Linked DNA regions of Lepisosteus oculatus. The protein of the gene in region 1 interacts with the protein of each later gene in a pairwise test. Links are inferred from orthologs where the notes say so. Each region holds a gene or a part of one and is shown in the gene's direction. Other genes may lie near its edges.

Region 1 (7,817 bases):
TGTTGGTGAACTCGCAACTGGGATTAGGACCATCTTCTGTGCATCTCATTTCATTCTCCGTTTCACTCAAAATGGTGATTGCAGAACGGATACTATACTCCGTCACACCAAGGTCAACGAGAGGCCTTCGAATTTCTTTGAGACAGTTCTAAAGAAAAATGCAGAAATTATTGTTAAAATTGTGTAGCAGATGTCTTTCATGAATTCTCTGGATTCTATGCAACTGATTATAAAAACTGACAAACAGAAACCCCTTTGTTACCTCTGACAATTTGGCATTATAGTGGTGTACAGTTCATTATGAGTTTAAGTTACCTGATAATGAAGTTCACTCATCATGTTTTAGCATTGAAAGAATGATAGGTTGTTAAAATGTCAAAGATATGGTTCCAGGTGTTACAGACACCACTTTTTGGTGCCAGTTAATATGAATCAGTGCAAAAAAAAAAACCTTTTACTCAAACTCAATGCATAAAAATAATTTATGATCTGAAAGAATACTGAATTGGATTATCCTAGTTTCAAGTGCACACTTATGTGAAAATGCAATGGGTATCTTTAAACCTAATGCCTTCAGATCTCAGACTTCAACTATGGTTTGACCTAGTAATTGTTTGGATAGATCACCTCAAGGAAGTAGGCAGGGATTACTGGGAAGCTAAGCAGAGTAATTTATAGTTGTAGCTAATGTGTCATCATATTACCTGGAGAGGCAGGCAGGCAAAAAAACTTGTAAAGAAAAATTAATCTCAATCTCTACTACAATTCAGAAAAATTAAAAAGAGAGAGAGAATGTCATCCACTCTTGCTAAACAAGATTCCAATTGCCCCTCAGCACTGGTAATCAAGCAAACTGTGGAGTACCTTTGTTAACAAATTCTGCATGTTCACTGAACTAAAGAAATAGGCCAAATAATAAAAAAAGTGTAATAAAAAAAATCCCAGGAAAATGTGAAAACTGCAAAAGGCACAGTACCTGATAATTGAAAGGACTGCCACCTTTCACTGACTCAACATCCAGAAGAGACTTCCATGCACGCCCGCGTAACTCAGGTGGAAGCCCTATTTTAATAAATTGCTCAATCTGAAATAAACACCCAAAGCACAATATCAGATTTTATGTACATATATGCAAAAAATACAAAAATAAAAACTCAATAAAAGAGCTTTAATAATAATAATAATAATAATAATAATAATAATAATAATAATATTTTTAAACTATTCTGCTATTTACCAAAAAAAACACATTACAACTTTGAGTATGCCACTGGGGATAATTAAAAATGGAATTTTAATTTCACATTGCAGCCTTCCATTTAACTTACAACATGTTTCAGTAAAAACGGAATTATCCTGGTTAACATACATTTCTGTACATGGCAAAAGAGATGGGAATTCTGGAGAAATATTAAATAAAGGCAGTGGTCCCAGAAGACATCTCAGAATACGGGATGAGCAAGCACCTGCGAGCCTCACTGCACATCTGACTTACAGTAGGTCTGTACTTTCAACAGCTCTATGTGCTGTCAGTCAAGACCAGATCCTTCTCTGTGATCATAGAGTTTAACTTTACAGCACCAAGCTACCTGGTTCTTGCAGATGAAACTCGAACCATTCCAGTAGCTGAGCAAATGACACAATTCCTTCACCTTCACAGCATTTGGTCTGGGGTAGCTATTAAAATGGAATGAACAAAGTTAAACACCAAGCGATGAAAAAGCAATGCATAAGCAATGAAAATGTAAAATGAGGAATTTGTAAGGAGGCAAAAACATTATATATGTTAAACCGACCAGGAAACTATTGACCTTGTGGTGATTTCTATGTATTACCTAACAGTATTTTAATACTCCACTCAAAAGAATGCAATTTTACATATATATATACACATTTACCTATTCTCAACCCAGTCAAACTCTCGGGAATATTACTTTTAACATGAACTGCGGCGTCTCTCTTCCAAGAAGGTAATTCAAAATATTTCGTATTATTAAGGGGGGGCTGACTTAGTATTTATAATTTTTTATACCAAGCCATTAACAGAAGATTAAGAAACACGTGGGGCTATTATAAATAGTAAGGGCATGCTGTCATTAAAACATTCAAAATGACGCATTATAACTATAGCAGTTTGCTGTAAAAAATGTCCCCGTGATGTCTCTCGTTTCTCTTTTAGCAATGGCAAATTGTTTTACTTTAGCGACACGTTTCCCATAAATATTTTGAAGATAATGGATACACTGTGTGTGGTATAAAAATCACCACCCTTAAACTAGACTTGTGCAGTTGCACTAGCAAGATAAAGTAGTCTGAGCATTACCTGTATTCGTGACATCTGCCTGGCGATATTTTCACATCTTTTCTACCTAACACAGCGAAACCAAATTCGTCAAACCCCAAAACCACATTACGCCTTCGTGGCGACTTTCCGTGACTGCTCTTTCTCCGCGACATGATAGCAAAAAAAAAAAAGTGGTTTCTCAAAATCAAAGAAGGCAGTAACAAAACAACAAGTAACAACTGTAAACTGTAACTCTGTTTCAAATCAGACGCCGCTTCCCAGTTTCCGATCCGCCCCTTAACTGACAAACACGTAGACCAATGGGAAGTCAGAGCTGAAACTCTGAAACCAATCAACTACAACTAAAAGCGTTGCTTCGCTAATGAGTTTGATTTCTATTTAAACCATAATGCGCAGCAGGTGCAAGCATTTAATCTACTTTAAATCTACTTTGAGTGGAAACTGAGACCTTGCTTGACCTTTGCAAGTTTCTTTCTAAGAAAGTTGGAGGTCTTAAATTACCGATGAAATGTTATAGCTAAAAGGCAACCTCAAACGTGTTTACGAGCAATTGTAGGAGTCCAAATAATCCTATTATTAGGTTCAGTTAGCGGTTCGATTATATAATTGACAGCATGAAACCAAAGCCAGCAGCAATAGGACCCCTCCCCCAGCCCAGAACAATTACTTTTCCATAAGGGGATCCTGGGATGAGAAATGAAGAAGAATCAATGGCTCACATCAAGGAGCCCAGCTATAAAAACCGATGGACCAACAAAACTATGATCGAAGACCAGGGCCAATACATTCCTAATCAGATCTCCGCTTGCAGCCCATATCAGTTTCTCATCAGCGGTGGCCAGGCTGAGTGGCACAAGGACACGCTTCTGAGAGAATGGCGCGGGCTTCTGTGGAAATCTGCTTGAAAGAGGCAAACCCACCATACAGGAAACTGCAGTGGATAAAGACACGGACGATTTCTGCTGTTCTTTCCACCCGAGTCATTAACTGCCTAATTCAACTCTTTATTGATTTAATTGGACACGTTGAAGACTTCCCTTGTTGTTCAGAAGCTGGAGATGTAAAGTACCTATAAACCTTGTTGGCCAGCTGCCTTTGAGGACCGCAGATGGACACCTCTGGTGTGAAGACTGATTAAGAAGATCTCTCTTACAGCTCCCAAAGGAAATGGCAGTATACTGTGTAGGAGACGCACATAAGACGAGGGGTTTTCATTTTATTACTATAATAAAGCATGAGGTCACAGGGCGCAGCTTTGGGCTAGTTTACCAGTGTAAGAAAATAGTTATATAGTAAAGACAGATGACATGTCGTTGAAGTAACGATATCATCCATCTTCAGCGTCACAGACGTTTATCATAGTCGTTTAAAAGGTGTGCTCTACATCACCGTAATTCTGACTCTAAACACAAAACAGATAAGGTTTTTTTTTTCAATATGTGTATTAAAAAGAACATCAACGGATTTGAAATAGGTGTGGTGGTTCAGTCTTCACTAAATAAAATTGATTTTTCCACAATTGGTATACAATTATTTCGGAAGATGATTTCAGACTGAACTGACAAATTAAGGCTGTAATTCGGGAGAGAGTGCGTATGTGTAGTTATGCCTTCTAAAATGCATTTATATTGGAGGTAAAATATGAGTAAAATTCAAAAGAGGCATAGTTTTGATGTAATTTTTTTGTAATGGATATTATTATATTTTACTTAATCGTGGCAACACTACTCTTGAGTCAGAGTGACCATGTATATAAAAAAACTCCAACAGGTGGCGCATTTTGCTTTTGGTTTCAGCGCCGTCCATGATCTGAATCCCATTCTTTAGTTTACGATGTCCATTTCCTGTTACAATCATATCTTGTGCTGGGTATCCTTTAACCTGGTGTGTGTGCTTGGCAACTATAATGTAAGAAACTATATTGTAAAAGACATCAATATACAATGTCTTGATGCAGAAGACATCAACGCATATAAAAAAAAAAGCCTTCTTTGAAGACAGATGCCTTGGGTGCTGTATTTTGCGAACACTGCGCGTAATTTGTAAGGCACGATGCGCCACACCGAGCTGTCAACTACGCTGCTCAGACTCTCTCTTCTTGAAATTCACACGGGTCAGTGAAATGGGTGGGTTTAAAGATCAAAGTCTACTTCTTGGCTCCAACGGTGTGAAGCTGTGACTACAGCCAAGGCAACCATCCGACTCAAGCCGTGCAACTTTATGGCCGCACAGGGCGCCTGAGTAATCGGGTGCCACGGTCGCGCACGGCTCCGAAGTCGTGGATACATTTCCTCCTTCAGCGCTCGGTGATTCACCATTTTTCCAAGTCGGCGGCAGGCTTCCTTCCTCCTTCGCTTTCCTAAGCCTCCTCCTATTGGCCGTGTCTCTCCGAGATTGCGCGCCCGTGGCGTGGAGCGCAACGCGAAATGCTCCTTTGTTTTATCCGGCCCTGCGAGATTGGCCAGGCGCTGCCCCAGCCCGGCGCGATTGGCTGCGAGGACTATGCAGGCCGCTCCAAAGACATAATTGGTTGAAAAGTAGGTTAGTGGTGCGACGACAGTTACAGAAGGGAGAAAGTAGGTCACAGACTGCTGCTGTTTATCACCGTCCATGTTACCCTGTATTTAAATGTGCTTATTTAACTTTCATCACGTAAGTACAATGCACAGTATTTTACGGCTTGGTTCTCTATATTGATAAGGAGAGATCGCAGACATAAAAGCAGGTAACACTGTAATGTAACGTGTTGTTCCGAATCAGGATATATTGCCGATTTCGGGAGGAGGGGCAATCCTTATGTATATATAACTTTAAAGGCGTAGGATGTGCTTTCATATCGCGAAGGATAAAGTCTGTTTTCGTTTACAGTGGCCTCAAGAAATCGGGGTTTTGCTTCACATTTCTCATGTGCCAAACTGAATATGGATAGTGTTTTGTAAAAAAAAAAATAACGTGTATACATCTATACGACTGCTTGTTATTTAAGATTTTCTTCAGAAAACGCGTGCGTTTCCTTTAAATACGGTACATCGCACGGGCGCGTTGATAGGGTTTTTATTGGGGTCAAATGTTGCACACATTCAGATACTCGGAGGTGGTGTGAAAAAATGCCTTATTTCACATCTAAGCATGTAATGTGTAGCTAGTTGGTTTCGTAGCTGTCAACAGGCAAACTGACAGCTGTCAGTGTTCACGGAGGCGATTCTGTAGGGGCTATTACCGTACTTGGGAATTTGTCATTTCCCCCAGGACATTGGCCTCCTTTCATCTTCTAACTACCTGTTACATTGTTGCGAGGTAGGATTGTTCTGTTCACTAGCTCTTTTAGGCCTACCAACACTCTTATTGCCTTACACGGAAATAATTAACGAGAGGTTGCATTTCCAGCAAGAAACCGTCAGCTGATTTCTGCAATTTAAAACAATATCAGATTGTTGGTTATTGTTAGTTTGGGTCTGGCTGCCTGTTTTGTGCTTGTAGATGAGAAAAAAAATGGAATCGTTTCACCCTCGTTGTAGGTGTCCTTGTATTTAATATTCCGGCGATTCCGGAAGATAAGGAGTTAAAGGGCTCTTTTAGTCAGCTAGCTTGGGACTCCTAAGAAATTAATTCCAAGGAAACAGTTTGTGATTCCTCCTGCGTTACGTTTTTATAATTGCCTATATTTGTTGAACTTATGCACAATTAAGCTGATCTTTGGCCACCAGAGTCAGGAATTTACTGACCGGGATTGTACAGATAGCCTGCTCATTATTGTCGTGTCTAATTTCTGCTCATTTATTTCTTCTCCGTGTCTGGCTAGTATTACGCATGAGAATATTTAACTGTTCAGCTTCTGATGTTTGGGAGCTTCTTTCTTCTGTAGTGCCATGTAATAGTATACTTATGTATCGCAGTTTGGCTGTTTATATATAATAATACTACTGTAAGTATAATAATACTACCTTTAATAGTCGTTGCAAAGTTCCAGTGGAGTCCTTATCCATATGGAAAGTACTGTACTGTTTGAAGCACCACTGTTGTTATAAAAGTGCTTGCACTGTACATGGAAACCATTTTAATCAATTTTAAAATTGCTATTTTATTTCAATCGCATATGACAATAGAAATCTGCGTGAAATTTCACGGGAAGAATTTATAGCAAAACATCGTATTACGAAGAGATAGGAAATATATTTCTGTGGATTTGTAGAGAGCAAGCTCAGAGACCGTTACCTGTGTTTCAGGGAAGAAAAAATAATATTTATTGACGTACACCCCTCATAAGGTAAATAATAACACAGCTATTCAGTCAGTGCCGGTGTTCCCAAGTCAGAAAGAACTAAAGAACATACAGTTCCATTCAAAGTGATTGCTCTTACAACAACACAACTATTGTAGAGCCTGTTCTTGTATGAAACCTGTTTACATAACCAGTGTGATTATATAGGTCTGAACTGTATTACTGTGCATTCCAGATACCTTTGGTCTGTTAAGGATTTAAGTTACTTTATGCAGTACTTTCTTCAATTAAAGATGGATCACAAATCAGTCAGTCAGTTTTGATTATGAAAAGTTTGAGTGATACACGCACAGTTGTAGCCACCTTTCAACTGAAATTAATTTCTCTCACTCCAGGTGAATTGGCTCGATGCTGTATTTCATAAATTTTTCGGACACGAAGCAGACCTCGGCTGGTTTCCATTTGTACAGTATCACCCGGAATTATCTTTTGCAGGGCACTTCCAAGTGTGGTAGTTGGACATTTAATAAGAAGACACCAAAATAGCAGGCTCAGTAGTTATACGCTGCAGTGCCTCTCTTGGGGGAAAGAGAAAGAAGGAAATGACTTTAAAATGATAAGGATGATAAAAATATTTTCTAAACAAAGTCCATTCAACTATATCAGCACCAACACACACTCCCGCTGGACCTGAGTTCACAGTCTGGGTCCTTTTGACCCCATTGTATACTGGTTTGTTTTTCCAGCAGATCGCTTTATTGTTTAATTCTTGGTGCCGAACTCGACTTTACTGGCTTCCCTGCAGTTAGCGCACACTGGCAGTTCTTCTCTTGCACCTCTTTTTGGAAACATAGTAATTCCTGGAATTAATCGAATTTCTCTTTGCACATCTACACTCATTCAACATTCAATTACTTGACACATACTGGAAAGTCACCATTAAAGCGCTCCATTTGTTCAGTTAAAGTAACTGAAATTCCAATATAAATGGTAAACAAGCAGACACGCAGGTTACCATCACTAGGATTGGGGCACCCTGTAATGTTCAGATGATATTTAGCCCTATGAAACGTCTAATGTTTTATAGGAAATGCTTTCCATCCTTGTCATTGCTTAAAATGCTAGGTGAGTGTCAAATATTCGACTGTGCTGAAATGTCAATTAAGCTAATCTGAAAAGACAACATAGATGTTCACATGTCCAAGGTAGGATAGGGGCTATTTAAAACAAAACATTGTGATGAGCATTGGTTGAGTCAATAACAATCCAATAGCATTTTTTATTCTTTTC
Region 2 (7,629 bases), on another chromosome or scaffold:
CAAGTTAAAAGTGATAAAGATCACAGGGCATGGTACACCTTGTTTATCAAACCCCTCTAGCCATATAAAACACCTCAGTTCCAGCAGAACAGAAGTAGGTCAACTACAGGCAATAAAAATGTATTGGCAGCGGGTTTTTTCTTTTGTAAAAAAAACTGAAAGGTCTGTATTGCTTTGAAATTGTTTTCCTTTTTTGTTGTTATTTTTATAATGCCTTCAGGATGTAATTATGACATTGATTTTTCTCTATAGAAAAGCCAAGATTTTATTACAGTACTGCAGGAGTTTGGTGTGACAGTTTTCGGTAGTTTATTTTTTTTCTGAATAAGTCCCATTCTGTTGGCACCAGTATGTCATTAAATTACACATTTTTCATTGATAGCTTCCTCTCTGCTGCTTTATACAGTCAAAAGTTGATACTTCATTTTGGAGAGGGGTATTGAAATGTTTATAAAGTGATTATATTATGTAAACCACACTGGCAAAATCTAATGACCTTCCACAAGAGAGCACTCAGTGTTCCCAGATAGAAAGCTGTCACAGGATTAGCAATTACTGCTGCTTGTTGGTTGGAGGCCAGATGGCAGTGGTGTTGGGGAGGCATTTTTAACATAGCCCTCTTCATTCTCTTTGGCATTAGATTTCCATGCATTTGGTTTATTTTTAATTTTTAAGAATAGATTTAAATTGAATTCCAGAGGGATCCCATTACTGTGTATACCGGTGTGATCGCTCTCAAAAACAGGTTAGTCATTTAAAGCATGAAGCTGATTGAACTGCTGTCATCCCTGTAGTTTTTCTTCATTTTTCAAGTGTGTTGAGGGATTCATGTCACGTTTACTTAAACACAGATAACAATTGCATGAATGTTTTCTCCCATAATATAGCATGCTTTGACAGCACATTTGGTGATGTGGTGCTGCGTCAGTTGTTGAAGATCGCCACGCCCATGCATGATTCTACTTGAATTCATACAGTACATACAGTGTTAGAGGCTGAATGGGGAGGAGCAGGTACTCTAGAGACAAACCTTTTACTAATCTGCCTGGTCATGGCATTAATTGAAGTACATCAACAATGACCTTGAAGGCTTACAATGCTGTTTCTTGTTCAACAGTGGTTATTCAACCATGGAACCTTTGTATACAAGGTCAGGTATACACAGGAAGGTGGTTCGGTGCACAATTGTAAAAATTAATGGTTTTCTCTCTGGATCACTTTGGGGTTATTTTTTACATTAGGTGTACTGTACATTAACAGATTTCAGCTAACCATGGTACCAGTTCTGTGTTTGGCATTGGGGTTGCTATATCTTTTTTTATATCAAAGGCTGCATTTGTTTGGTAACAGAGCTGAAGTGGAGCTACAGCCAAATGAGCATACTGTAAATCTAGTGAGGAGTGAGACAAACAGTCTGCATAAGAGGATCTCCTCTGGAGCTTAAGGGTAAAGGAATCAGAAGCTATGTGATGCAAATTACTCCGAGATCCATAATCCTTTTAACAAAGGTGCTTCTAGGAAATTATTAAAAAAACAAAGTGTTCTTAATTTCATTTTATGAGTTAAAGAACTGTATTATGATGCAAGAATGCCCCCAGATACTTGGTTAACATATAAATATAATGTCTGGAGGGAAGAGAAGAAAGCAGTGTTGATCTGTCTCATACTGTAGATGATTTGTTCTAACCCTTCCCTTTTCAACAGAAATGATTGATGAGGTACAGCACTTGGTGATTCGTAGGATTTTCAAAACTGAGCGAGCCATACTTTCAGGTGTGCTGAGTGAGCACCCTTGGCTATATTTCCACTGGGAGTAATCCAAACACCCCTGCTAGAGGGAGCAAAGAGGATTTCCTTTTCGGGGCTGGGTTCAGCTCACCCAGTCACTGCAAACGCTGCTGAGCCGTCACCTGGTATGACCTGTGTAACAATGCAACACCTCCTGAGTTCAGTAGCTCAGAAATACACCCAGGTTAACTATGTGTACAGAGATTAGTGTGCCTAATACATAATGCCTCTTACTCATTGAACTTTTTGTTATTCCATCTTGAAACATGTATTTTAGTGCTGTATGATGCAAGGGTGAGAGTAAAGAATGGGATTCTGTTGTACTGCTTGGAGTACGTTTCTAGGATTTTAGAATATTTAAGTCAGCAAAGAAAAAGTCACCATAATACAATAGGTTCCACAGCAAAGTAAGATTGTTCTCATTAATTTGTGAGGTGGGTAACAGAGTGAACAATCCAGTTCTTAAATAATAGAGCACTATATACCTCTGATCTTCTCTAATGTGATTCATGTCTTAATGTTCAAATTTACTATTTTTAGGGCATGGTCAGATTGTACACTTCCTGGTGGACAAATGACTTAAGTATGTACTGATATGAAAAGGTTTTACACCCCATTAGTAGTCCTGTCTTGTATAATGCTGACCAGAACCTAATGGATGATGAAATTACCATCAAATTAAAACAGAAGTCAACTGCATGATACCAGATGGGAGTTCCTGCCCTTGACCTGGTTTTAATACCAATTAATTCTGATATTTTAATTAAAATTGGACTTCTTAAAATTGATCTCTATACAAAGCATATATATCACCAGGTGAAGCCGGGATTCTTACTCCTTTGTAGCATTTACAATATGCCCTTAAAAGCCACAGTTCAATAATAGGACACATTGCATTTTTTTCCTGAAACCCTTACATATATTGATTGAAGACGTAAACTTGGAACAATTCATGGTGAATGAATCGGCCCATGTATTTGCTACAGAAATAGCATGTACTGCGTAAGCCTAGGATTATGTTACGAAAAGAACATCCAGCATATTAGCTTGAGGGATGTTATTTTTTTTTTTACACAATACCCTCTTTTAGACTGAATGAATGTTTTTCACTGATGTTTAAGCTGTTATAATCATACTGTACATCCGTATTATGCCTATAATTGTTTATAAAAACTATTTGAAATTAGAGGTAGTGGACAAGAAATGGAAATACCTGGGATAAAAGAGACACCAGATATTAAAACCAAGGGCTTCCACACAGTTGTGGCTAGTGTAAGTTAAGCAAAAAACATCCCAGAGTGTTAGGATCATGTTTAAAAATGCTGGACAGGCCTGATTGCTTTTGATTGTGTCTAATATGGCTGCAAGAGAACACTTTAGTGACTTTTAAAGATGGGTGATTGTTGGTGGGCATTTGGCAGGACCTTCAGTGACCAGGACGTCCCGACTTAATGACGTCTCATGAGCGATGATGTCTCAGGTGACGTCAGTATGGAACTCCGAGGGACAGACATCATCAGCAAAGAGCAACAGTGGGTAGAAATGTATACACCATGATCATGATATCAAGAATGGCCTTCTGAAAACACTACAGAGCAGGATACCATAGTCACGTTACTGTGCACAAACCACTCTTCACAGCTGGCAATGGACATTATTCCAGTAGAATAAAGAGCTCAAGCAATGGACTACCAAGCCATGGAGAAATATAATATGGTCAGATGAATTATCCACCATGTTCCTAGCAAATGAATATGTCTGTGTGGTGCCAACCTAAAGACCAGGCCTGAGTGTTCGGTACCAGCTGTGAAGGGCTCTGATGTTTCCATCATGTTGTAGGGAACATTTTCTTGGTAAAGCTGGGGTGCACTTATACCATTGGAAGACTTGGTCAGTGCTAATTGCTACTTAATGGTACTGAGTGATCATCTTAACTCCATGTTACAGCTTTCCTGGATGAGTGTCCACATCCATAGAGCAAATGTGGTTGGTCACTTGGTGGTTCAAGGAGCATGACACTGACGTAATCCTGATGTCAATCTCGTGGCATTCTCATCGCCTTCTCAATCAACAGATCTGAACTCTATTTCACAGGATATTCTAGAACAGTGCCTGAGACAACGTTTTCCACAGCCATCAACAAGGCTTGAGTTGATTGCCTTTCTTGTGAACGAATGGGTGGCATCCCTCTTGCAGAATTCCAGACACTGGAGACTCTATGCCATGGAGTGTAAAGGCTGTACCAGTCATATTTGGTGACCAAACATCCAATTCTGTGTTTTTACGTTTATGTTTCCATGTCCACTTCAGGTACATCGTTAATTACATTATTTGAAATCAGACGACTGGAGGTGCCATCAGAAATAAATTAAAGACAAGTGCACAGTCAAAGTAAAGCTTCTTCTGCAGCCCCCAAATTATTGACTGCTTATTTAGTTATGAGGTTACTGAAAAAAAGACCATGGAATCACACACTGCCATGTAAATGTAATGCCGCATTACATAGTAAATAGAATTCCAAGTAACAATTTTTCCTTTAAAACGCAGAATTCCTTTAAATCTCGCAGACTTAAGAACGTCTGGAACAAAGGGTCGGATTTATGTAACAGTACATGCTTTGAGATGTGACGTCACTCGGACTAAAACGGTAAGCTGTGACGCAATGACAGTTCACTGAACGATTTATAAGTGCATGGTAACATTAGTCAACAATATAGAAGACTTACAAAACAGTGGGCGTTGTGTAACCTACTGTAATCCTTTACCAGTTACATGTCAGTGTCCGCATTATCGTTATCGGTTCCGGTCACACTGTGGAGCTGACAGCTGCTTTCATTGTCTAATGACTTGGACACTAACTGTGTGGTCTCATTTTCATTTCTAAGTATTAATCACGGTGGCCAAGGGGTGTTTTTTTTTTTGTTACTTGTATGCGCACGGATGGTCACTCTCAGGAGTTGGGCAAATCCAGCTCCCCAGCTCGGTGTCGGCTTAAGTAGTGTGAATTCTTCAGTGACACTGAAAAGACCTGCACGGACTGCTCAGACTCTTCCAAATTGGTTCATTGAACTAGGTCTGTCTTATGCGGACCGCTTAGGAGGCTTCGTGGCTGCTCACACCCTCCTCTCTCTCAGACCGGACGACTGCTGCTGCTGATGTAAAATGTTCTGTGTGTGGGTTGGGAAATGAACATCATCACTGAATGAAAACGCATTTGGAACTCAATCATTGCCTACAGAAACGGTGCCAGTTATATAACAATCTTCTGTGAGTAATAAGGGGGTAAAACCTTTCGCGTTTCTGTGAGATTGTTGCTTTAAATTGGGATCCTGTTCTTGCTGCTTCAGTTGAGGTAAGTGTAAATTTCCCTCCTGCGTGGCTGTGTTTTAATTTGATAATCATCTCATATCATTTGCGTGTCCGGGGTCGCGCAACTTTTTTTTCCTTTGGATTTAAATGTGGGATCGCGTAGTGGGATAGGTGAAAGCACTCAAAACTGAATTATGTACACAACACGCGAAGTGCCATTGATGCGTAAGTCATTAACATTATTTCTATACGTACAGTTATTTTTATAAATTCTCAGAGTTGTCAGCTTTTCTGTGACCAATAACTGTTTAATAATTGGTTTGCATTCTGGATGTAATGTCAATTTTGTTCTGTTCTGGTATTTTGATAGTAAAACTTGACGATTCCTTGTTGGAAGTCTGTATTTGTTACTAATATATAGATTTTCTTAATCTTCTTCTAAATGTTTAGATTTTTAGTTTCTTTCCGATTTTTAATGTGTATTTACATCAGATTTCCTGCACAAGACCAGCACAGATTTTCATTAACAACGAACGTTTACTTACTAAACTGCTGAATGCATTTACTAATGTGTTACATGATCAAATCAGAATCGCTTTCCACGCAAATGAAAATTAAAAAAACGTGCGTTTAGGCGGTTTCTACGGAGAGACATAATATTGTACTGCACAGTATATCTTTATTATCAATATTTTACTTCTGTGTTGCCACTATGTTTCAAAGTGTTGTCTTATATTTAGTGGATTAATGAAGCTTATAAGTAAAGAGTTTCATATCCTTTGTTATAATTTAAAGCGATAAGGTGTAACAGTACACTTTAAGATTAGTTTTGCTGTGTTTTTGCGACAAATCTAGATATTAATACTAATAAATACATACAGACAATTACTCTGTATGTGATATTTGAAATTTCATCGTTTTCGTAAAAGGTTTATCATGTCTTAACAGCAACCTGCTTTGGAGGTATTAAAGAGAAGAAAATGGCATGTACTGTAGGTTGAAAGTTTTTATTTTTATGGAGCTGTTCTCAAAATCTAAACTGTAAGGGTTGCCAGGTCATTACTGTGCAGTGCAATATTTTTTTGCAGTTGTGGTGTTTCGATTGAAGTGCACAGAGGGAGGGATATCTTTAATTACTTTTAATATTTCTGCTGACATTTTGTTTTTGAATAGGAATGAGAACTACACTAAATTGAAGCTCGTGTGGTTCCAGAGAACTCCACAGCAGAGATGCATATTCTTCTAGCAGTCCAGGCTTTACAAAATAACGCTTAGATTTTTGCATTTAAATACTAATTGTCTTACAGGAAGGGATGAACAAGATTGTGCAAAATCTAGTCTGTACCTTAACATGCTGTTTAACAAAATGCAGTGGCAAAATACAATATTTAAATTTTTCTGTGTTGTTTTAAGTTATTTTCTTCTAATGCATGTTACTTTGTTGCGTGTGCTAATATCTCAGATTTTGCATTCCTTCTCTTTGCAAGAACAACTATGATTCCATCTTTCATTATGCGTCTTGTGTTCGTTGAGGCATTTGACATGTCTTCCAATAAGCACTGCTAACTGGAACTTTTCAAAATTGATCCAAACAGCTAATGCAGTCCTGATGCCCTATTCGTTGTCCCACAAGGAGCTACAGTAATCATTAATTATTTGATGTTCAGCCGCTAGATAAGTATATTTAAAAACATGTACCAAAATGCAAGTGTAATATGGAGAATATAGTAAGGTGAACATAAACTTCAAATGTACATACCGTATCCCTGACCATTTAAAACCTGGTCAAATCAAATCATTTACCATGTGCATCCAGTAATGGAGCATAACACAAAAACAGCGAATGTATCGCCTTATTTCCAACCATTAGAATATTATATTGAAAAAGAGGAGCAGGAATAACCATTATTTGAGCTTTGGGACAGCCTAAGCCAGAATTTGTAAATACACTAGAGGTTGTATTCACAATCTGCTGTCCAGCTGCTAATACATTGCTAATTGCTAATTGTAAGTGGAACTTGGCAGAATAGTTGTACGTATTCTGGTTTGTCTTTAATCATGTGCTTGCTTGCCCCAAAGGTTTTTGTTATCTAACAAACTTATCCCAGATTTTCAAAGACAATAATAACCTTTCCACTAGGTGGCAGATTGTTCTCTGGTGAGATTTTTTATTTTATTTTATAAATCTGTGGTAAATGTGTAATACATATATCTAAAAAACTGTTACCTTAATAGCATTCCTCTTATATGAAATATAAATATATTGATAGGCATTTTAAACACAGTAAATGCATATTGGAGCCAATGGGTTTTGTTGCATTTTAATGCCTCTAATTATATACAAATGTAAAGTTTTAAAATGTAAAGAAATATGAAGTTTTTTGCAGATGTCAACCATTTAGTTGTCAAATCTTAAACCTGTTGATTTAGATAAAAGTATGTGTATTTCTGTTTTTTTCTTCTAATACGTTTCTGTAGTTGTTGTTTCCTTGACAACAAATAATGAAGGATAGCAGCCTTTGAATATCTGAA
Region 3 (8,075 bases), on another chromosome or scaffold:
CGTCACTTTTATAATAAATATGTCATAAAGGTAACTGTTTAACCCATTTGGGATATCTTACAACAACTGTTGTCTAATGTTTCCTGTAAAAGGTTTTTATTTTACGATGATTCCCATTTTGTGAAACTCATATTAAGTTTTTTTAACGTTGCATTCCAGTTCAGTCATTCGGTCTGTTGACTGACGGGTTTCTTAACAGCTCGGTGCTTTCAGAGTGAAAACAAATGCCAAAATTGGCTATTTACTGTAACGTTGCACATTTAACGAGTGTCATCCAGATTCGCAACTTACTTGGCGTCACGCAGAGAGCATAAAATTCAAGGCTTCCAGGAAAATCTATTTGGCATACATTAATTGTTTAATCTGCTTTAGATAAAAGCAGTAAGCAGCCAAAGAGCAGCACTGTTGTCAATTAGCTGAGCACTACAAGCTACAGCTACTGTTGCAGATAAAATGAAAGCGCAACAGACTGGCCTGTGCAAAGTTTGCTTAACTAGCATACAGTATGTGATGGCTATACTGTGACCACGGCCTCCTATTCCTTTACTTATAAAATAACAGAGGTTATGCGTTAAAGATTGACCATCGTCTATGGGCAGGATTCTATGAATATTTCTTCTATTAAAAATGTCCTCAATACTGGATTATAAAATTGTCACCTTTGCCATGATGTACTTTTACAGTTTATTTTTCAAACCCCTGTTTTTACTATATGTCAAGGCAATCTGTGTTGTTCATGTGCACGTTTTCAACTTTCATTCAGCCTTATTACCGTTTTTTTGGCTTTTACTGCGAATCATTTAATCGTATGAATAGAAGGGTACAGCTCCTCTCGCCCTTTTTATCAGCTAAGAACTCCCCACACATTTATATAAAAAATGAATCTTCTATGGATGTTCCTACATTAGTCATGAACAGTTTTGCAACTCCCTGGCAGTGACATAAACATATTCCAAATATCGTACCCATTTGTGTTAGCTGCAATGTACAGTACATACAGTAATGTGTATGTAATGTTGACGTCTTTCAAAATGATGTTGTTAATCAGTTGATCAGAAATAACATAACTGATGGTTTAAATAAAACTCCCAAGTCTGTGGATAGAAATCGTAATTGAGTTTGTATAACTGTAATGCCTTCACTAGTCAATAAATGCAATTAAATTCAGTGACCTAACGCTGATTTGATCTTCAATGATAATGATACAGTATTATATGAAAAGCTTGTAAACTTACTGTATTGTAAAATGTTTGGCTACAGCTCATTTCCTAAAATACAAGGGAGTTTTATTTTACGCGTTCTTCCTGAGGAATTGTAACAGTATTTTCCATATGTGATTTAAGTTTTTAAAGCCTGCATAAGTAAAACATTGCAAACCTTCAGACAGAAGTAGACATATTGTTTCCCTGTTTTGTACAGTATACCGTATTCCTGGAAACCAAATCATTCGTAGTTTAAAAAATGTTAAAATACGCAATGTGCTTAAGTGAATCATTACATCTAACATCTGCTGTTGTCAAAAATGATTGTGAAAACCTTTACCCTTATTTTACTGTACAATAATCAACATTTTTCTAAACATAGGCATATTGAGTGTAACACATAATGTTTTTGTTAATAGTGGGTTTTAAACTAAAATGGCCAATGCTGAAATTATTTTATTGTTGTTATTTAATGACATTAAATATAGTATTATCTTACTGGGGTAAATATAATTTCAAATATACTGTAAGTAGTGAAAAGTAACTAGTGTTTGAACAAATTATATACATTAAGCAGAAATTATTTTTAGAATAATGAAATAGTAATTGAATGTAGTTTAATACAAAATCCCAGAAGGTAAATGTTGTTCGTAATTAGGTGAACTCAGATCCAAAAGCAAAACTATGGTTAAAAATATCTTAATGTTTGTAAAATAGTTGAAATACATTAGAATACTAAACATTGAATTTTAGCATAAAGTATCTTAATTATTACACTGAATTTATTAGAATCTAAACTTTGCCATTAAAGCAATAACTAGCTTGGTGTTGTTTTTAAAGAGTTTATGAGCAGTCAAAGTTAATTCTCAGAAGACCTAGGACAAATCTGTGGATAGTTGATAAATATGCGATAATGATAATGAATGATGATGAAAGCTAAATGATATGTCCCAAGATGTTAAGATTCAAACCTTTACCACTCACTTTCCGCCTGGAAACTGCTCTTTTTAAATTTGATTTAATTTGAGCAATTATTTGAAATGTTTGCATGTTTTTGTTCAGTAGGTAAATAATTTAAATCTATGAAAAATAGATAAACATTATGATTGCAGATGTATGACAAATTCTCAAAATAGTATTGTTAGGAGCCTTCATTGTTTCACACTGTACAATGATTTATATACTGTACCTGTATTGAAATAATCATGTTTTTATTTTTTGGGGGTAAAAAATGCTCTCAACCACAATAAAAAAAAAAATCTGTATATAATGTATACTGTATATACCTTCCAATAATGTTGGGTGCTCTACTACTCTTCCATAAAGGAGTAAAGCTCTAAAGCTGCAATACAGTACTTTTCCTTATTCCAGAAAATACTGCTGACAAATTCAAAGGAAGCACTGCAAACATCTTGTTGGCAACTTGGTTAAAAAAAAAAACTTTCAGCTCTTCAAGTGTATCTGAGGGTAAGTATTTAATAAAATATTTGCTTTTCATATGTCTCTAAATAACTGAAGATATTGTTCTATACTGCTCTGGTACTGTTGCAATACAAATTATAAGGGTGTGTCACGAATATACTGTACAAAGTGGTAGTATTGCCTTTAATACTACCAATGAAAAATACTGTCTTTGCAGACGATATACTTATCAATTAACCATTGTTAATGAAGGAATAAGGAAAATCTATTTTAGAAGATTTCTTATGTAAGCATTTGTATTAATACAGTGACTTGCATATGTATAAACAGCCCTAGTTAGGAAAGATTAAAACCATTGCATAAGAAAGCAACTGCAAATTGGATTTTTCTGTTTTATTTTTTTTAACATTTTAAAACATTTAAAATAAAATATTTAATCCTAATAGCATTGCACACAGCAAAGTCCTTAATTAATTATATTCCAGAAAACACAAATATTTTGACGTGGGGAAATCGCTTGATTTCCTCCACCATCGTGAATCCTGTGCTCAATATCCCAGAAATCTCTCCCACCTTGCGCAAGCGTGGTGCCTGGTGTCCTAAACCCACAAGTCGACCACTGCGGCTCACATTCTGGATGAGGTACTACTGTACTCTGACACTCACATCTCAAAATGACACGCTACATCTTAAGAGCTGAACAAAAGAAACTAGCACAGATCAGTGTATTCACGAAACTCAATAAAAGAGAGATCCAATGACTCTAAACTCACTAAAACGGATGTCCAATGCCTTTATGAACCTGTGACCATTCCAAAACCACTATTCTCCTCGTCTATGGTTCTTTCAATGTTATTGATAGCTACAGTACAGTATGTCATTCTTAACATCAGATGCAGAACCTTCCTGAGCAGGTTCATTGCACGGTACATTGCCTGTCTTAAAGCAGTCTACAAGCCTGCAGCTCTTCTAGATCTTTGCTTTAAGGCTACACAAAGCAGCTAGTGACAGTCATTGCCCTTTCTTCAGCAGGAGTTAGCGCCACAACCTCCCCAGCCTGCCACTGCTAAGAAAAACAAGCTCTCTGCCTTCTTGTCAGCCCACCTGTTTGTACTGTAGTTGCAGTGAAGAGTGCAGCTAACAGTCTTCTCCATGTCTGCCAGGACAGTGAGATCCTTCTCTGTTGGATCCCAGAAACTCAGACACCCTTCACTGCTGCCCTGTTAGACCTAATTACTAGTGATTCAAAACCTTCACGAAAGTCATCAATGCTATGGAACAACAGTTGGTTGACTTTTGTGATTCTTATAATTTTAATCAATGTAACTGTTTTAGGAACAATAGTCAAAATATTTACCATCCAACCAGATATTTTATTTTGGAATTGAAATACAATCTTATATACAGTATGACGCTTACAATTTATATTATACAGTATAGGACTCATTTCAATACAGTATAGGACTCAAGTCTTATTTATTCCTGTATCTGAGTTATGAAGTTTAAATAAACATGTATTAACATGCTACTCCTTTGTTATATTTCTAAACCATCAAGTGATCATTTGAAAATGTAGTACTGAACATCATTTAGAATTTTTTTGGACTATTCCTAATGTATTTGGGTATAACTGTATAGTTTAAATACTTTCAAATAACATTTTGTGAAAACAATGTGAATAATAAAACAATTGCTCTAGTTAAGCATTTAAATTACTTAAACTATTTTGAAGAGTATTTACAAATAAAATATCAGAGACCGTTTTGCTATGAAACTATCGGATCCCTGCACCTTTCAAGATCTGCATGTAGCATTCTGACACTACAGTGGATGTCACACTACGATGTGGGTTTTTCAGTGTTTTTTTTTTATTTTCCATTTCGTTCTGCCATCCAGATATGAATTGGTCCTTGCTACTTCTTCGCTTAATCACAATTTAGTCAAATGCTTTTATTGCCCTCTGATTCAATAAGGCGATTTTTACAAATAATTATAGTTCTTCTATCATTCTATTCTTCTTTAAATCGTATTTCTAGAATCTGGTTCAACGCGTTTAACAGTAAGTGAAACTCGTTTTACAGTAAGTGAAAAGAAACTGGCATCCATAACACAGCCCCTCTTGGCTAAACGGAGATAACCCAGGTTGCAGGCGATAACTCCCGCATGCGAGGAAAGCAGAGCACCCAGATTAGTGACCTGGTGCACCTGCGAACTCCGGCCGGCGGGCGAATTGAATGATGAGGCGCAACTCTTCGCTGCGGCGAGGCTGAAGTGAAAAGCGTACCGTACCTCACAGAGCCGACAGCAAATGAGCTCACCTATAGCGCTGTCCCGCCCCCACGGCCCGGGGAAGACGGGGGCAAAGGCGGTGTGTGTGTGTCTGCCGAGGGAGGGTCTCGGCTGGGTGCTCGCCAATCACGGCGCGCACATTAACTTGCTGTCAGCAGTCCAGCTGAGTGCAGGGAACAGTGGCCGGGGGACAAGGGCTGGAACTTTCCCAGTGCGAAAACTCAGCGAAACAACTTTGACAGAGGGCTGAAAACAGAAACCTTACAGCGCAGCACCAGCCTTTCCAGATTTCTGCTTGTTAGTAAGAGAGAGGCTGTACAATCCTCGGCAGTGTTCTGAGACTGTATAGCCCCCCTCCCGATGACAAAAGGTCTCTCTTCATTATAAATGGATATTGCTAGTGTTTATTAGTTACGTTCTCCTTTCATCATTACCGTTAGCTAGCAGCTATTTGTTTTTCGGTAGTTTTTTTTTTCCATTATTATTTTTTTTTCTATTGTGAAAACTTTTCAAAAGCACCGCTGGAATTTCTGGAGGACACGGGATTTGATAAAGGACGTGTTCAGTGCTATTTCGACCACCATGACCGCTGAAAAAGAAAAAAAGAGGTAGGGTGCATTTTTCATACAGTATTTAACCTGTTTTTTTTTTGTTTAATGTTTCGATTGAGTTACTGTCTTGGCAAGCACAATGTCTTTGCAATGAACATAACGTGAGGACCGATGTAACCAAGATCACTGACGCTGCTGTTAATAGGACTTGTTGCGCTGCAGGGAGAACATACTGTAGTGAAGTTTAAGAAACTGCTGTCAACCTTCTGACAAGGGCAGCAACACAAATGTAATGATATGAGCTTATACCTTATGATCCGGACCTCTTATGCGATGTAAAGTGAAAGGATTTGCGCTGAATATTTTTCTTTCAAATGTGTGTATGTGGCGTGCAGCTGCGATCTGCACGGTATTTATATGCCGTCTTAATTTATTATATGATGTACATACTGTACATTTTGTCACGGTACAGCCTGTTACAGATACTGCGATCTTGTCCAACACCAAATGTGTCCGACATACGGTACCAGTTCCAGAAGATATATGCTACCATTACAAAAATAAATATTGTAATATTGATTGAGAGTTTAATGGTTAAACTTGTTTTTTTGTTTTTTTTTTCTCTGCTGCTGTTTACGGGATTCTTTTTTTAAATCTAAACTTTGATCTCTGATTTGATTGGTATACCACGGAGGAGTGTGAGCAGAGGCGACCTGTGCGAGTCTCTGGTATCGTGCGGCTGTTGTGTGGCCCTAGTTAATACGCAGGTTAATTAACAACAGGTGAAACAAAGCGTAGAGGTAAAATACAGTGACAGGTCGATTGTGAGGTGACTAGGACACTGTTTTCGAGCTGTAGTAGTTGCAAAGCATTGACCAATTCTGTCATAAAATGTGATGGCAGAGTTATTTGTGTGTCTCAGCATTTTAATATACTGTAATCTGCGGTAAAGCAACATAAATCATTGCGCACATGGTTACCTTTTCATGTTTTTAACCCTTAGAATATGGTATTATTCATTTAATTGTCTCGGCTGCAAAAGTGAAGTGATTCTGAAAAATCTTTTTCGTTTTATACTGTATTCATCCTCATACCCAGTGGAATAAAATAAATATCCAATAATAAGTGTAATAAATAAGATAGGGATCTTTTAAAATATTAAGTATTTTAGCTGTTCTTATTTCAAGAATTTATCAGGTTTGCAATTTATGACCTTTCCCATTAGTTGCATACCGTATGGGAGACCGTAACACTGGGAAACTACAGTATGTGTAATTGATTTGTAAAGTCACAATACTGTGTAATTCTGTACTTTGCATTTGACAGGTTATTAGAACAAAATGTTAATTTCCATCGTTGTACATAACATTTACACATTAAATGTCCTCTGTTTCAGTTTGTAATTCTTCTGTAAGTAAAATTATATACATTTTAATTAGAACTTGTTAGGACTGGATATATAGCCTGCAACGTCAGGCTGTTACAAGCAAAACTGTACAATACAACTATTTAAAAAGTATGTGAAGATTTTGCAATGTGTATGATGGGGAAAATGTGTACTTAGTGGCTCTAGTAATAACACAATAAATTCGCTCGCAGTATGACTTCGGTTTGTATACCATACTAAAAGATGGCAGCATCTATACTGCACTCAGGAACATATTGAGTCATCCATTTGATTTATGTTTTGTGTTTTTTTTTCCGTTTGTTTCCATCAGTCTGAAATACAGTTTTGAAATGCTTCATGTTACCAAACTGAAACAGGCCCAGGAAGTGGAGTGTGAGGAATGATCGTTCACTATAGCCTTTCCTCCCTCACAGGCCAAGGCTGTGTGAGTTTATCCATACGCCATGTTAACACGTTTTGTTTCTTTTATCAAACTAGGTTCGGTCTTCAAACCCTTTGTTTGAGAAATGGACTTGCATCTTCCAGATCTTGAAGATTTAGTAATTGCTCTGATCTCTCAAGCACAATTAAGGCCTAGCACTGTGATCGCTATTCAGAAGTGAACAAATATACGTTGTGGATCCTCAAAAGACAGTCTGCAAGTTTATGTAATCCTTATATTTTGACAATAGTAAGGAATAGTTACAGGCACTGTGATTCAGATTTCATCATAGCTGGCAGATCATCCAGTTTTTCTGTGGTGAAATGACATTTTATTTCATATTTGTGAATCCTAATATCTGCAGGGTATAGACCATATTATGAAAATAGAATATCTTCTATCATTTGCTTAGGGGATACTAGAGTTCATTTCCTGTTTCTCTTCCTAGGCATGAGCTCTTAAGTACGCTGGTAACCTGGTTGTTCCTCTATAAAGCTTGCAATCCAGCTGTGTTTATATTTCTTCCTCAGTTTTCATTACATGACATATTCATGTTTTGCAGTTTCCAAATATAATTAGTAAAATAACAATTTAGCTCTCGTTGTTATTGTTAGACCCAGTACCTATATTTAAAAGCCTGGGCAGTTTTGAATAGCTACTATTTCACAGCTCAACAAAATGAGAAATGTATTTTATAAGCAATTCAGTAATAGTTCTGTACATCAAGCAGGTCAGTTTTTATAAACTTGTACCTTGCAATAAAATCAGATTGGCAATGGCTT

The links.
Region 2: the proteins of bmal1b (region 1) and npas2 interact in binary tests that used the Homo sapiens proteins (3 or more experiments, as listed by UniProt). The link is inferred for Lepisosteus oculatus from reciprocal best matches to the Homo sapiens genes BMAL1 and NPAS2.
Region 3: the proteins of bmal1b (region 1) and epas1b interact in binary tests that used the Homo sapiens proteins (3 or more experiments, as listed by UniProt). The link is inferred for Lepisosteus oculatus from reciprocal best matches to the Homo sapiens genes BMAL1 and EPAS1.

Annotation. Positions count from the first base shown.
Region 1 is NC_090716.1:8,949,852-8,957,668, forward strand, and holds the start of bmal1b (basic helix-loop-helix ARNT like 1b), read left to right. Parts: upstream 1-4,768; 5' UTR 4,769-4,957; intron 4,958-7,817. Other genes in the region: TBC1 domain family member 10A, read right to left, coding at 1-148, 977-1,084, 1,590-1,677, 2,324-2,457. UniProt on the Homo sapiens protein: Transcriptional activator which forms a core component of the circadian clock.
Region 2 is NC_090703.1:45,028,651-45,036,279, forward strand, and holds the start of npas2 (neuronal PAS domain-containing protein 2), read left to right. Parts: upstream 1-4,521; 5' UTR 4,522-5,055; exon of another isoform or gene 5,056-5,140; intron 5,141-7,629. UniProt on the Homo sapiens protein: Transcriptional activator which forms a core component of the circadian clock.
Region 3 is NC_090712.1:13,467,239-13,475,313, reverse strand, and holds the start of epas1b (endothelial PAS domain-containing protein 1), read left to right. Parts: upstream 1-5,037; 5' UTR 5,038-5,495; coding exon 5,496-5,521; intron 5,522-8,075.